2 linked regions of the Canis lupus familiaris genome follow. The protein of the gene in region 2 purifies or fractionates together with the protein of the main gene of each other region. This does not show direct contact. Links are inferred from orthologs where the notes say so. Each region holds a gene or a part of one and is shown on either strand. Other genes may lie near its edges.

The links.
Region 1: the proteins of GEMIN5 (region 2) and SNRNP70 purify together in Homo sapiens (affinity purification with mass spectrometry; 4 studies listed by BioGRID and IntAct, counting the BioPlex papers as one, with this or other methods). This does not show direct contact. The link is inferred for Canis lupus familiaris from reciprocal best matches to the Homo sapiens genes GEMIN5 and SNRNP70.

The regions. Positions count from the first base shown.
Region 1 is NC_049222.1:108,017,718-108,022,872, forward strand, and holds part of SNRNP70 (U1 small nuclear ribonucleoprotein 70 kDa), read right to left. Parts: intron 4,586-5,155; coding exon 4,504-4,585; intron 1,258-4,503; coding exon 1,156-1,257; intron 1-1,155. UniProt on the Homo sapiens protein: Component of the spliceosomal U1 snRNP, which is essential for recognition of the pre-mRNA 5' splice-site and the subsequent assembly of the spliceosome. SNRNP70 binds to the loop I region of U1-snRNA.
Region 2 is NC_049225.1:55,757,380-55,765,623, reverse strand, and holds the start of GEMIN5 (gem-associated protein 5), read right to left. Parts: upstream 4,567-8,244; 5' UTR 4,477-4,566; coding exon 4,311-4,476; intron 3,517-4,310; coding exon 3,356-3,516; intron 2,653-3,355; coding exon 2,471-2,652; intron 1-2,470. Other genes in the region: MRPL22 (39S ribosomal protein L22, mitochondrial), read left to right, coding at 5,894-5,921, 6,004-6,046. UniProt on the Homo sapiens protein: The SMN complex catalyzes the assembly of small nuclear ribonucleoproteins (snRNPs), the building blocks of the spliceosome, and thereby plays an important role in the splicing of cellular pre-mRNAs.

The DNA of each region.
Region 1 (5,155 bases), on a different chromosome or scaffold from region 2:
TACTTTTCCACAGATATATACTGGGTCAGGATGTAGTAAGTACTGCTATGCCAAAGTCTGAATGCCAAATGAACTACAAGATTCTGCGATTCCAGGATTCTACAACAGAAAATAGCAGACTATGAAAAACTCACTCCACCCTCAAGAAATGAAGGCGATAAGAACCTATTACTGTTCCAAGACTCGGCAGGTGAGTGTGTGGTCTACGCTGCACAGGCAAGTCCAGGGTGACCATCTTTCTTAGAGAACTGTCACTCACCCCTGCAGGAGTAGGTCCTTAACATGCATGTTTAGATGGCAGGACAGCAGCCCCAGGTCCAGGCCCAATGAAGAGCCACTCAGATCCAACCCCCCGGAAGTATAGACTCACCAAGACTAGGTGTAGCACTCATGGGGCCAGTGCAGGGAAACACAGAAGAGACCAGTCTGCACAGACAGCAGACAAGGTGGAAGCAAGCTGCTGCAATGGCAAAGGTGGCTCCTGACAAGCTTAAAATCTAGCTACCAGGTCCTCGAGGCCCACTGGCATCACACATCTCTGGCCTCCAAAGGACCTCCAGGATTCTCTATCAATAAGGCTCCCTTTATGTTTTAAAAACCTCAAATGTATTTCCAATACTTACAACCAAACTGATTTTAACACAGTAACAATCAGAGAGAGACACAGGCCATCTGTCTTGCTCCTGACTAAAAATGTGGTACATAGCTGGTAATCAAAGAATAAACAAATGAGCAAGAATCAAGAATAAGTAGATGAGAGAGTGATATTTACAAGCCCCGTCACATGCCACATGCCAAGCTAGGCATCTAGGCATCTGGTATGCTGAGCTCCGTGAACTCTTGAGGTTAGCCCCAATTTCTACAATAAGGAAAATGAAGCAGGGAAATCCACCAACTAGTAAGTACACAAGCTGACATTTGATCCCACACTCGCCTCTCCAGACAGTGCTCCCACTCCTAATCAGTAAACCAGAATGAGAAGTCAGCCACCAGGAACGATAATGATGGTGACAAGAGAAGAGGAGCTGGAGGAAGCAAGGGAGGACGTGATGAGCGGCCAGGAAAGCAAAAAGGAGAAGGGAAGACAGCAAGCAGCAGAGGATGCATAAGAGAGTACAGGCCCACCAAGGCTCAGCCAGGGCAGGAAGTGCTCACCTAGCCGCCGGGGCCGCCAGCCCTTCACAGTTCGGCCCCTCTCCACGTCCACAAGGACTCTCCGGCCATCAATCTTCTTGCCGTCTGCGTGCTTGTAAGCGGCTGCAACAGATGCGGGGAGGGGGAAGGGGGAGGAGTCCCCAGAGGGTCCTCTAGTCAGGACAGTGCCCAGCTCTGCAGCATCCCCACCCTCACGTCCCCATCAACACACTGTGCACACACACGTGCGTGCACGCGCGCATACACACACACACACGCACACCAGCCAGCCAGTCAAAACTGACAGCCAGACCAACCCTCTCCCAAACCAGGAGGGGCCTGCTCCATCTCGGCACCTGTGTATTATCCCCCAATGACGGTTGTGGGGAGCAAGACGACCCAACCACCCTCTCCTGGGCTCCCAGGCCCTTCCCTACTCCCATTCGACGGAGCAGCCCCCTCCTGCCCAGGCGGCCAAAGATGCTGCAAAGAAACTGGAGGTTAACTTAAGGCTGGACTCTGCTGTGGGGGAGGGCTCCTCCACAACCCCAGGCATGCACCCTAAAACATCATGCTGGGGGAGGAGGCCCAGCTGGGCCGCTCTGCACCCCAGTTCACACCGGTTTTCCTTTTTGCTTTTTTTTTTTTTTGGGGGGGGGGGGCGGAGGTGAGCGTGGGGAGAACAGACATCAGAACAGAAAATGAACCAGAAAAGGGTGGGAGAAATCTTTAGGAGATGACAGGGAGCAGAAGGGTGGGTTATGGTGCTCCCAGGGGGCCTGGAGGGGCCCCCCTACAGCAGCTAGGGCAGAGGGAAAGTGGAGGAAGGTATGGGAGGCGTGCGGTGCTACTGACAATTCCTGCCTTACCTGAGCCGACTGACTGCCACCCAATCCCAGCCCCCATTCCATCTCTCCCTCCACACCCCCAGCTCAACACAAGCTGGGCTGGGAGGCCAACCCCAGCCGGAGCCTCTTGGGAAGGGTGAGGAGTAGAGGGAGAGATTCAGGAAGAGGCATATTCCTGCTCTTGGGCAGGGCACAGCGATGGGCAGGCCCAATCCCAGGCCTGTCTCCCATGGGGCATCAGGAGGGCAAAAAAAGTCCGTTTCCCACCCCCAGCCCTGGCCTAGGGGGTTGTCCTCAACCAACCACAATACCCTGCCCCGCCCCAGCCCTCTCCCCCCCAAATAACAACCAGAGGAAGAGAAAAAGGTGCCATTTACCGATGCCGGCCTTGCGGGTGTCCAAACCGAGCGGGATGGGGGGGGCTCGGCAACTCCTGGGGGCCTGGCGAGGAGGCGGGCTTCCCGGGGGGGGACACGGGACCGCTTACCTGGAGCCCCCAAGCTTACCTGAGCACGCGCACAGACCCCACACCCACCACCATAGGGTCAGCTAAAGCTACAGGGAAGGGAAATGGGGGGGTTCTAGGGAGCCACAGAGAGGGAGAGGAACCACATCTCCTGCACCACCTAGAGACAGGCAGAGGCAGTGGTGGACCCCAAAGAAACCTCATGGAGGCCTTGAAAGAGGGGGAGACAAGGATTAACATCAAGTCTAGGAGCTGGTAATGCCCTGGAACTAGCTTGTTGTATTTAAAAAGAAGGCTGGGGAGGCCTTAGCAAAACTGTTGGCCCTCACCTTTCCCAGTAAAGTCCACACTGAACTAGGCACACGCCCCACCCTCCTCGCAGCACATGGAAGGACTTCTCCACTTTGGATTCCACACTCCCTCCCACCACCTGCCACTCAAAGGCTGGCACATAAGGGACAGCCTGGGGGTGGGGGGTCCAGGAGATGGAGTGCTGCCCGTGATCTGGAGGAGGGGCCACTTGGCCCCCCCAAACCCAGAGGAGGGTATTACGGGAAAGGGATTTAAGGACCGGGAGCACAGTCAAGCAAAGGAACCCTGCTCTGGTTCAATGTCCCAAACCCCAGAAGAGGCCCAACCCAGGAGTACCAACAAAGAAATCATGTGACATGTGTACTTCTAGGCTTCTCTTTCTCTCCCTCTCTTAGGTCTCTAGACAGTGGAAGGGTCCTAAGTAAAATCTACAACACCATCAGCTACTTGCAGCCTGTCACTCAATCCCTCCCTCACCCCAATCCCCAATTCCATGCACTCTGCAGAGCCGCTGGGCACCACAGCCCTCTTGGTAGGCCTCAACCATGATAAGGCAGACAGAAAATGGGCACAGCAACCCGAGTCTAGCAACCAAAAAGATTCTCCAGGGCCACTACAGTGACAGCCCCACAGAAGAATGGGGGCAGGCAGCAAAGGGTTGAAGGGTTCCACACGTAGCCCTCACCCTCGTGCATCCCGTTTCAGTATTCCTGTAACCTTGCCGCTGACATCGTGAAGCCAGGTAAGTCAGGGGTGGGGTGGAGCCCAGTTGGAGAGGCCAGCAGCCTTTCCCATCAGGGTTCATCCTTTCCTTCCTGGGATCAGCAAGATTATCAGAGAGCATATGTGGATTGGGGGGAAGGGGTGGCAGAAGGGACAAGGGGCACCCAAACCAGGAAAGGGCTGTGGGTGCGGGAAGGCTGAGGGGGCGACTGGGGATGGGAAGAGGGACGCCTCACTGCTCCTGAGCTGCCTGGCTAAGCTGGGCTGGTGTGCGGTGCTGAGTGATCTTACCCATGATACAAACCCTTATACCAACCATACACTGAGGTGTTGTAAGGGGAGCGTAAGCATCAGCTGCAAGCCAGCTGCGTGGTGGCTGCAGTGACAATAAGAACAGTCAATTAATACGGCGGCCCCTGGACACGCCGCAGCCCTGCCCGCCCCCACCCACCCATCCCTGCCCATGTGGACGCCGCCGCAGCCTCAAAGGGGGCTTTGGAGATGGGGGGGCAGGCGCTGAACACGCCTACCAACCCACTGCCCGCTGAGGAACAGGGTGGGGGGCCAGGGGTGGGGAGGCAGAGGGTCGGGTGGCCCAGCCCCAGCTCTGCTGGGGGGGAAGAGAGGGCAGGTTCAAAGGCCAGTCCTCATTCCAACCTGGCCGCCCCCAATTCTGGTGGGGGGAATGGGGAGAGGCTCCCCGAACATCCGACCCCTTCCCCCAACCTCCAGCTGGCCCCAGCCCCCACCCAGTTCCCTCCTTGCCCCTGAGGTTCAACGTGTGACACTTACCTCCCCAGGTTCACACACACACACACGTTGTGGGGGATTTTGGTTTTTGTTTTTTAAAAAACACGTATATAAAAAAAAAAAAGATATATCAGAAACAGAGGGAGGAGGAGAAGAGACATCGCTAATGTCAGGTTTGGCAGGGTGGGGGGTGGGGACAGACGACGGGAAGGGGCTGGGCAGCATAGAGAGAGAGGGTCAGAGGGCAGGGCTCAGGCCTGAGGTACTCACAATGCATGTCTCGCTCATGTTCATACTCGATGAAGGCATAGCCGCGGGGCTTTCCTGACCGCTTACTGTAGACCATGTGTATCTGGGGGGAGGCGGGCAAAGATTAGTTCTCAGGCAAGGAAATCCCACCCATTCAATCGCAGAGCCTGCGTGCCAGGCCCTGGGCTAGCTCCTGCCAGCGACAGATGTCTCAGACCCCTCTCCCTGTCCTCAAGAGCCCAGAGTGACTAATGCTCTCATCATACTGGGCTCAGCAGTGTTTGTGCACAATGATCTCCAGCCATCACTACTGCCCAGAGCACTCCAGTGACTTCAAGAATTCAAGACATGTCAGTTAAACATAAAGCCTTGCTCTAAAATGAGAATCAGCACACACATTTATACTTTGTCTCTAAAGGGCCAGACAACAGATATTTTCAGCTCAGAGGGCCTTACAATCTGTCCAATTACCGGACTGCCTTACACCAACAGCAGTCACAGACGATAGTGAACAAATGGGCTTGACTGGTTACCAATAAACCTTTATTTACAAATAGTTTGTAGTCTGCTGACCCATACCCTAAATCAACAAAAAAGCAGCTGTTACTTCCTAATTTTACTCCTGCTACCCCAAGGTCTGCTGCATAGAAATGTAGTCAATTTGGGGATCCCT
Region 2 (8,244 bases):
CTATCAACCAGCTTAAAGGAAAAAAAAAAAAAACAAACCCAATTATCAAGATGGTTAAAGTCCTTTATACAACCCACCCCAATCAAACTTCTCTCTCTCTCTTCCCCAGAGGTAAACTGCTATTCGTGAATTTCTGTTCCATCATTCCTAGCCTTTCTTTGTCTATGTTCCTAAAGACAATTGAAAATGATTCTGTGTATTTTAAAACTTCATATAAATGGTATCATGCAGTCTGTTTTTCTGTAACTTGTTTTTTTCCCACTTATTGTTAGCGAGTCATTGATGTGGATGCATGTAACTCTGGTTCCTAGTCAGTCACTTACACTATTGGATGGCACTCCACTGTGTGACTATAACACAAATTTACTCATTTTTCCATTTAGAGGGCTTCCGTTTATTACTATTACAAACAAAACAAAACAAAAATGCCATTAATAATCTTATGCACACTTAAGACAATTTCAGATTTAATGCATAGTAGTGGAACTGCCAGGATGTAAGATGTATACATCTTTGCTTTGCTAGAAGTACAAACTGCACTCCAAAGTTGGGTGTACCTCCTTACATTTCCTACACACTAGATAGTCCTATAGGGAAAAACACCATTACACTCCTTTAATAAAAGGAGAAACTTTTATTAAAAACATTTTCCCATTACAGCCTTACTTAAAAAAAAAAAAAAATGAAATCATACATCAATCTTTGCAGACATGGACTTCGAAAACCCAACAAGTTTTGCAACCTAACAGTCAAGTGACCAAGCTGTTCTTCATTTTTAATCAGCCTTTCAGGAAATGATTGCCATTTGGAAGAGCCTCTAAAAACAAATCATTCTGATTCAATCCTCTGTGCAGTTCCCTCTACCTGAAAGATTTCTTCTTTTCTTGTGGATTCTTGCTCATCTTTCAAGGTCAGTTTGATCCTACCTTCTTTGATCCCTGCCTACCACCCATTCTGCTCTTCCTCTAGCTCTCCCACTGTAACGCTGCTCACTTCACCCAGCAGACCACCGATCCACAGACTCCTCCCATTTTCACTATTACGCACACATACCTGTTTTCCTATCCTTCCCCTCATGCTTCATTATCACTCCTTTAAAAACACCCTTAGCAGCTTTGTCCTGTCTCTTTCAGAAGTATTTACTCCACAAAACTTCAAATCTTGTCAAATCCAACCATACCCTTTCTCAGTTTGAATAGTTTACTTTGAATTCATGATTTTGATTCAGAGCTTGGCCTCAATACGGACCACTGGACCTACAATTTCTCTCAGTAAGCTCATTTTTTTATTCTCTGAGATGACTATTTTTACATCTTCCTGCGTGCTCCCAGCCCCACTTTGAATTTGACTCTACCTTTCTGACTTATGATTCACAGAGAAAATCAGAAGACATCAGAATGAAATACCTTCCTCGGGACAACTGGGTGGCTCAGGGCCTGATCCCAGATTCCCAAGATGGAATCCCACATCAGGCTCCTTGCATGGAGCCTGCTTCTCCTCTCTCTGCCTCTCTTTCTGTGTCTCCCACGAATAATAAATATAATCTTTAAAAAAACCCAAAAACATCTTAAAAAAAAAACCCCGACAACAAACACCTTCCTCTTCCAGCCAGATCTACAAACCCACCTGCAACTATTTCCATTTCCATATTCTCACTTGTCCTTTCTACTTGTGATCTGGATACAATCCCTCTTGACTTCTCATATCACTCCTGTATTTATTACCATTTCTCCATGCAACCAGCTTTTCCTCTTCCATCAGCATAAAAATATGCCCTATTATCTTCCATTTAATATTCCCTTTACTACCATGTACCTCCTCTGGCTTCATGTCTATGCACATTTGTACAAAAAACAAAAGTCTCCATGTGTATCTTGACTACTGTACCCCAGTCTCTTGAATTCACTCCAACTAGACTTCTCCTCTGGCATTCTAGTGCTTATGTCAAATATCCAAACTAGAGTGATAAGACATCTTTGGGAGAGTAGTAGATGGAGCGGTGAGGAAAAGGGTGGTGCCCATTCAGGCAGTTTATGTGAAATAATCCTGGTGATCGAGGCGGAGGCAGCGCCCAATGCCAGACTACTGTCCCAATCCAGAGGGAGAGCTGCGAACAGGGACAGAGTTAAGTCCTCTGACATTCTGAGAGTAAATGTTATCTCCAAGAGCAAATATTGAGAGAGGAAAGGGGAGAAAGAGGGTATTTCCTACATTTGGAGGCTAGCTGAAGAAATCAGATGTGAAGAATGAGGAAAGTACACTATTGTAGAAATTAAAGAAATAAAAACAGAGAGAGTGAGAAGGACAGTAAGGACCTGGAAGTCACAGGAATAAATGATACCATGGGCTCAGGGAATGGTTAATACCTATACATGGCTTCCTCTGAGGAATAAGGAAGAGAAGATAAAGCAAATGCAAAATATGCTCATTAACAAAAACAAATTACCAGTACAGATGACACAGTACTTACCCAATGGCTACTAAATCTTCATGATGAGGTGAGCAAGTAAGACAGAAAATTGTCCTGGGTTCTATAAAGAGGTGCTGGCTGTCATTTCGGTTAAGCCAGTAACAGAAAACTACTCCTTTTTCATCTCCAGATACTATTAAATCCTTTACTTGAGGAGACCAATGCAGTGCTGATATTGTATGCTTTAAAACAAAACAAAAATACATTGCTTTTCATTTGTCAGTGCTGAATTTTTACTTCATTTTTAACTTGTATAATACTAGGCACATTGATATGTACTTAATAAATACCGTTAGTACCACTTGTATACCAAGACTACATTAACCAAATGGTAGAAGAATTTAAGCTCCTAAGGATTAAAGAACTATTTAAAAACATTTCTTCCTTTAGCTTAATTGAAAGTTCTTACTAAGATTGAGTCTTTTTCTTTTCTACATTCTCTCAAAAGGTAGGCTTAGTAAGTAATCATCTGGTTTAGAAACAAATTTCATTCATTTACAGTTTATGTCAGGAGTCTTTTCCATGTTAAAAAACCAGATTGTAGACATTTTAGACTTTGTGTGCCATACTGTCTCTGGTACAACTACTCTGCTGTTGTAGTATGCAAGCAGCCAATACTTAAATGAATGACTGAGGGTGTGTTCCAATAAAACCAATTTGCAAAAACAGGCAGCACAGTAGTTTGCTGACCTCTGGTTTATATGTATCTCCTTCCAAAAAAGTTTTGAGGCATCTTACAATTTATATATAGAATATAGAGCTTCTCATCCAAATAATGGACATTATTATAAAAGTTAACTTGCACAGATGAGTTAGCGTACTTGAAACAAAAGAACCCTCAGCAAATATATAATAATGGTCTGAGAAACCGGTAAGCCACAGTACCTGATGGAGTGCATGTTCTGTCACAACTGTTTTTGTTTCCGCATCCCAGATTTTCACAGTTCCATCATCAGAGCTGGTGGCGCAGAGGTTGTATTGACCCGGATGATGAGAAAATGTGAAGCCAGAGACCCTTTCGGTGTGTCCCACCAACTCCCCTACGACTTCAAGCAAAACCGGACTTCAGGTTAGAGTGCTACCTAAGATTCCTGGGAGGATCATACTGATGTTAGACGAGTGGGACTTCACTTATCCCATGGCATAACAAAAATATCCAGGCACTCACAATCAGAAATCCCAAGTGCTGGTTCTGGCTCTGCCACGGGACTTCAGCCCAGTCATTTTATCTCCTTGAGCCTCACTCTTTTCAGCCGTAAAATGCTGCTGATATCCCTTGTTGTTCACAGTTCACAGGCTGAGGAGCGGCTCAAATGAAGAATGTAAAAGTGATTCTTATTTAAACGTGGCCCAGAGGTCATTTGGGAAAGAATAAATAACTGGCTTGCCATGTCCCAAGGCAAAATCTAAACCTAGCTTGGAGCCTGAAAGCATCTGGCTCAACTCATTCATCTTCAAGAAACAGGTATCATCTATTTCCAGGACGTTGTTCAGGGCCTGGAGCTGTAGACAGCCCCGGAACGCAGGGAGGCTCCCAGGGGACAGTGTGCGCTGCGTCGGGGAGGGAGGCCACAGAGGTTATCAACGCCTGGCTCCATAAAGGGGTAACTCGAGGGAGCGAGCGGTTCTACGCGAGAGCGCCAGGAGGCGGGGCCGCGCAGCCACAGCGTGGTATGGTAACTCAATCCTGGAGACGCGGACGCAACTCAGCCCGGTATCCTTCTGCCAACCTGGGCCTCAGTTTCCCCACCTGCAGGGAAGGGTGCCTAGAAACTCTCCCTCGGCGCCTACGACGAACCCAACAAGGGCAGGAGGGCGGGGGCTCAAAGCGGGGAGTTACCTCGAAATGGGGGCGTCCCAGGGATCGCGCCAGCGCTTGGGCCCACGCGCACAAGGAAGACGGAGGTCCGCGCTGCGAAGCCGAAGAGGCCCCCGGGCACCGCATCGCTGCAGCGGGCGCAGTACCAGTTAGGAGAGGGCGGCAGCGTGCGCGGCTCCTGTCCCATGATCACGGCCCAGCAGGGACGAACGAAGGAACCCCAGGAGCAGACCGTTCGCAGCCCCACGCCGCAGCCGGGAAGGGGGCGGGGCTGGCTCGGAGCCCCGCCTCGCCGGGCCCGCCGCTACGGCGCGCGCCGAGGCCCAGGCCGCACCGCGAGCGCCGCTCCCGCCGCCGCCGCCGCCGCCGCCGCCGCCGGGCTGGGAGGGGCGGCCGCGCGCGCGGGGCTCTGCCTGCCGCCGCCGCCGCCCGGGGCCAGGAGTCCCGGTGCTGCCGAGCCCAGCCTGGGGGTCAGGCTTTCTCACCTCCCACAGCAAAGTACTAATTAAAGCGTTAGACTGACTAGTGGAGTCACCTCGACCAGCCGTTTTAAGTTTTTAATTTTTGAATAGTTCAGCCACTATTCCGTCAAGTAGTTGTGAACGCTCTGTGCCAGGGTACTTCGCTAGCTCCGGAGATTCTGCAGAGACCTGCAACAAGCCAGTTAACCAAAAGATAAACGTTCGAATCAAATCAAAAAAGACCGGAAGAGTTAGTTTCTGCAACCGCGAGGAAATTCTGGCCCTAGAGTCTTCGGACTCAAAGAGGAGCAGAATCGCGTGACTTGATGGGGTGCCGGCTCCGTGAAGGGCGATGTGTGTGGAGCTGCGGGCTCCGCGCCCCGGCTCTCCTGGGGTATGTGGCAGCCCTGAACGGGGACGAACGACGCCGGAGATCTCTCCTAACGGGGAGAGGCCACGCATGTTTTTGAATGTGGGTAGGGGCACCAGTTTGGGAGGCATCCAGGCCGAGGCTGAATCAGTGGTTTTGCCGGTTGTTGTTGGAGATACCTTAACCTGTCCCAATCTGCTTTCTCACTTGCAGGAAGGTGATAACCCATGCCTGGTCGGATTGCTGTGAGGAATTCACAGATTTAGTGAAACGCCTGCCCGGCATATGAGTATTGATTTATCTCTTGTAGATCAACCTGGAGATTAGCATAGGGATTAGGACATCATACTCTATATTTGAGCTGTTTGTTCTTTGAAAGAGCTTTCCACACGATCTCTAGTGATCTTCACAACAAGCCTGTGCCGCTTTTCTGTTTTGCTGAGGAAACAGGTCCACCCACGTTAGGTGGCTTGTTCACCGTCTCTTGTCCTACTCTTTCTGGCCACGTGTGAGGGGAGGTTTCTCAATTTTTCTGGATCTCCATGAATGTCCGTACACTCTCAGTCTTCGGCCTGTGTTAAAGTCACTCACTCCCAGGCAAAGGTGTCCGGCTCACACCTCAGGCGCGGGCGGCGCGTTCGCGGTCCCCAGGACGGCACCCGGGGCGGGAGTACTGCCGGGTCTCGCGCGGGGGCAGACAACCTGAGAACTGCGCATGCGCGTGGTCCCGGCAGTGCGTGAACTCGGAGGCTTCCGTAGAGGGAGGGAGGAAGATGGCGGCGGCAACGCTGGAGCGCTTGGGTAGGGATTTCTGAGCGGTTTAGGCGCCGTAGGAGGGAATGGAGGTGGAAATCGGAACTGACTGCTTGTGTTGATGTTTCAGGTGCATCATGGATGCCGAACCTGCGGAGGAAGCTGGCCTTAGGGTAAGTCTTTTCACCCCGGAGTTGCAGAGGACTCAAGGACTCCTTACCGGGTTGTCAGTTAATTCCTGGGCGCCTGTGTGCCACCCTCGGCCCTTAGGTTCTGTGGCTGTGGAAACGAACGGGACAGCCAGTCTACTTGGTCACTCCATCTTTCCGCCGCCGTGCTGCATGGCTCCGACGGAATCAGGATAACCGGTTATTCAAGGGACATTGTGAATCTCTTTTCTGGACAGTCTCTGAGCATGGTTAACGCTTTTCCCAACGGTGTTGGGAGCGTCCGACTTTTCTAGTTCCCTCTCGTTCCTGCTTACCATGAGCAGGGGCTGTATCGGAGACAACCGCGCTTTACAATGTATCTAGCGTCGTGTTAAACGCCTTATATGCTTGATCTCATTCTCATAACATCTTTCATAGTGTAGGTATTGCTACACCCATTTTTCAGACAAGGAAATTGAAGCTCCTCAAAGTAAAATGACTTGCCTAAGGCTGCCCTAGTCATAGGAAATTTTAAAGCTTTATACTATATTCTCCAGAGTATTCTTAGACCCCAGAACAAAAGTTTTTTCGTTAGGGAAATGCAGTTAAGTCAGGAATGGCAAGGAGCCTTTCTCTGTCACCTTCTTCTTGTCTGTCTTCCCCTCTTCTGCAGTACAGCTGTTGATATTTGGAGATTGATGATCTGGCGCATTTGTTGGAACTTATTTTGGCTTAGTTCATAGGCTTTCGGAAACCGATAAGTTGGGTGTGAATCCACTTTTTAAACCGTTTGATTTTGGAAAGATTACTTATCTTTCCTGAGTTTTTGTATTTAAATATGCGAGGAGAGTAATATTAGTACCTATGCCTTGGATTTTTTATGAGGATTAAATGAGGTAATGTATACGAAGTGTTTAGCATAGTGCATAGCATATAACAATCCCACCCTAAATTCTAGCTGCTATTACTGTTTTTTTTTTTTTTTTTTTTATCATTATAAGCTATTACTGAGTTCCCATTATATTTAGCTGTTTCCAGTTCCTGGGTCAGGGGAATGAACAGGTGGGCTAAAGAAGAAAATGGGAGGCACTGCTCCTTAGGATTTGTCTGCAATTTGCTTTTCAAGATTTTCTTTATCTTTTATCATCCCACCCTAGTATGGGATGACTTACTTACTTTTTCTGAATATGCTGTCTATTTATTTGCTTCTTGGCGTTCATCCTGTGCCTTCACTTCCTGTCTATATAGGAGTTCTAATTATTTAAAACCCTGTTCAGATGTTTCTTCTTTAGGAGATTTCTCAGATCTCACTGAGAAGGAAGGAAATTAATCCCTCCTTCCTTTTAGCATGCTTGTCTTCATAGTGGCTTCATGTTATGTCTCTGTGCTCTTTACTAGCTTGTATACTCTGGATAGGTAGGGATACTTCTTGTTTCTCTTTATAGTTCCAGGATGGAGTTTTGCACAAAGAATATTTTTTAATGATTGTTGACCTAAATTGTCCTGCACTGACTTGTACTTAGAAGCTCTGAGCAAGCAACTTCAGCAGTTTAGTTTTGGTCTTTTCATCTATGTAATACAGGAGAGTTCGATTTTGTTGGATAATCCCTAAGGCTCTTTTTAGTTTTGAAGTTATATAATTTTATGAATCTCTATTTTGGGCTTTATTATTATAATTTTAAAAGATAGATTTATTTTAGAGAGGAGTGGAAGAGGGAGAGGGAGAGTGAATCCCAAGCAGATCCCCACTGAGCAGGGACTGTGAGGCCAGGTTCTATCCCAGGACACTGACATCAAGATCTGAGCCAAAATCAAGAGTCAGACACTTAATTGACTGAGCCACACAGGCTCCCTAAAAATCTGGCTTGCTAACTATCCACATGTTTATGACATGGTAACAGGAACCTTTTGGAACCGGGAAGTCATGTTCTTTAGTCTGCAAAAACCTCTCCCCTCCGCCCCTGCCCCATCACTTTAGCTAATAGTGACTTTCAGCTGGGGCCAGTTTTGCCCCCACTCCCTACCTCAAATCCCCTGAGACATTTGCCAATTTCTGGGGACATTTTTGGTTGTCACAACTCAGGCAGGGGGTGCTGCTGCCATTTAGTGGCTAGAGGTGAGGAATTCTGCTAAACATCCTATAAGATACAGGATAATCCTCACAACAAAGAATGATCTGGCTTAACATGTCAATATTGCAGAGATTGAGGAACTTCTGAGTT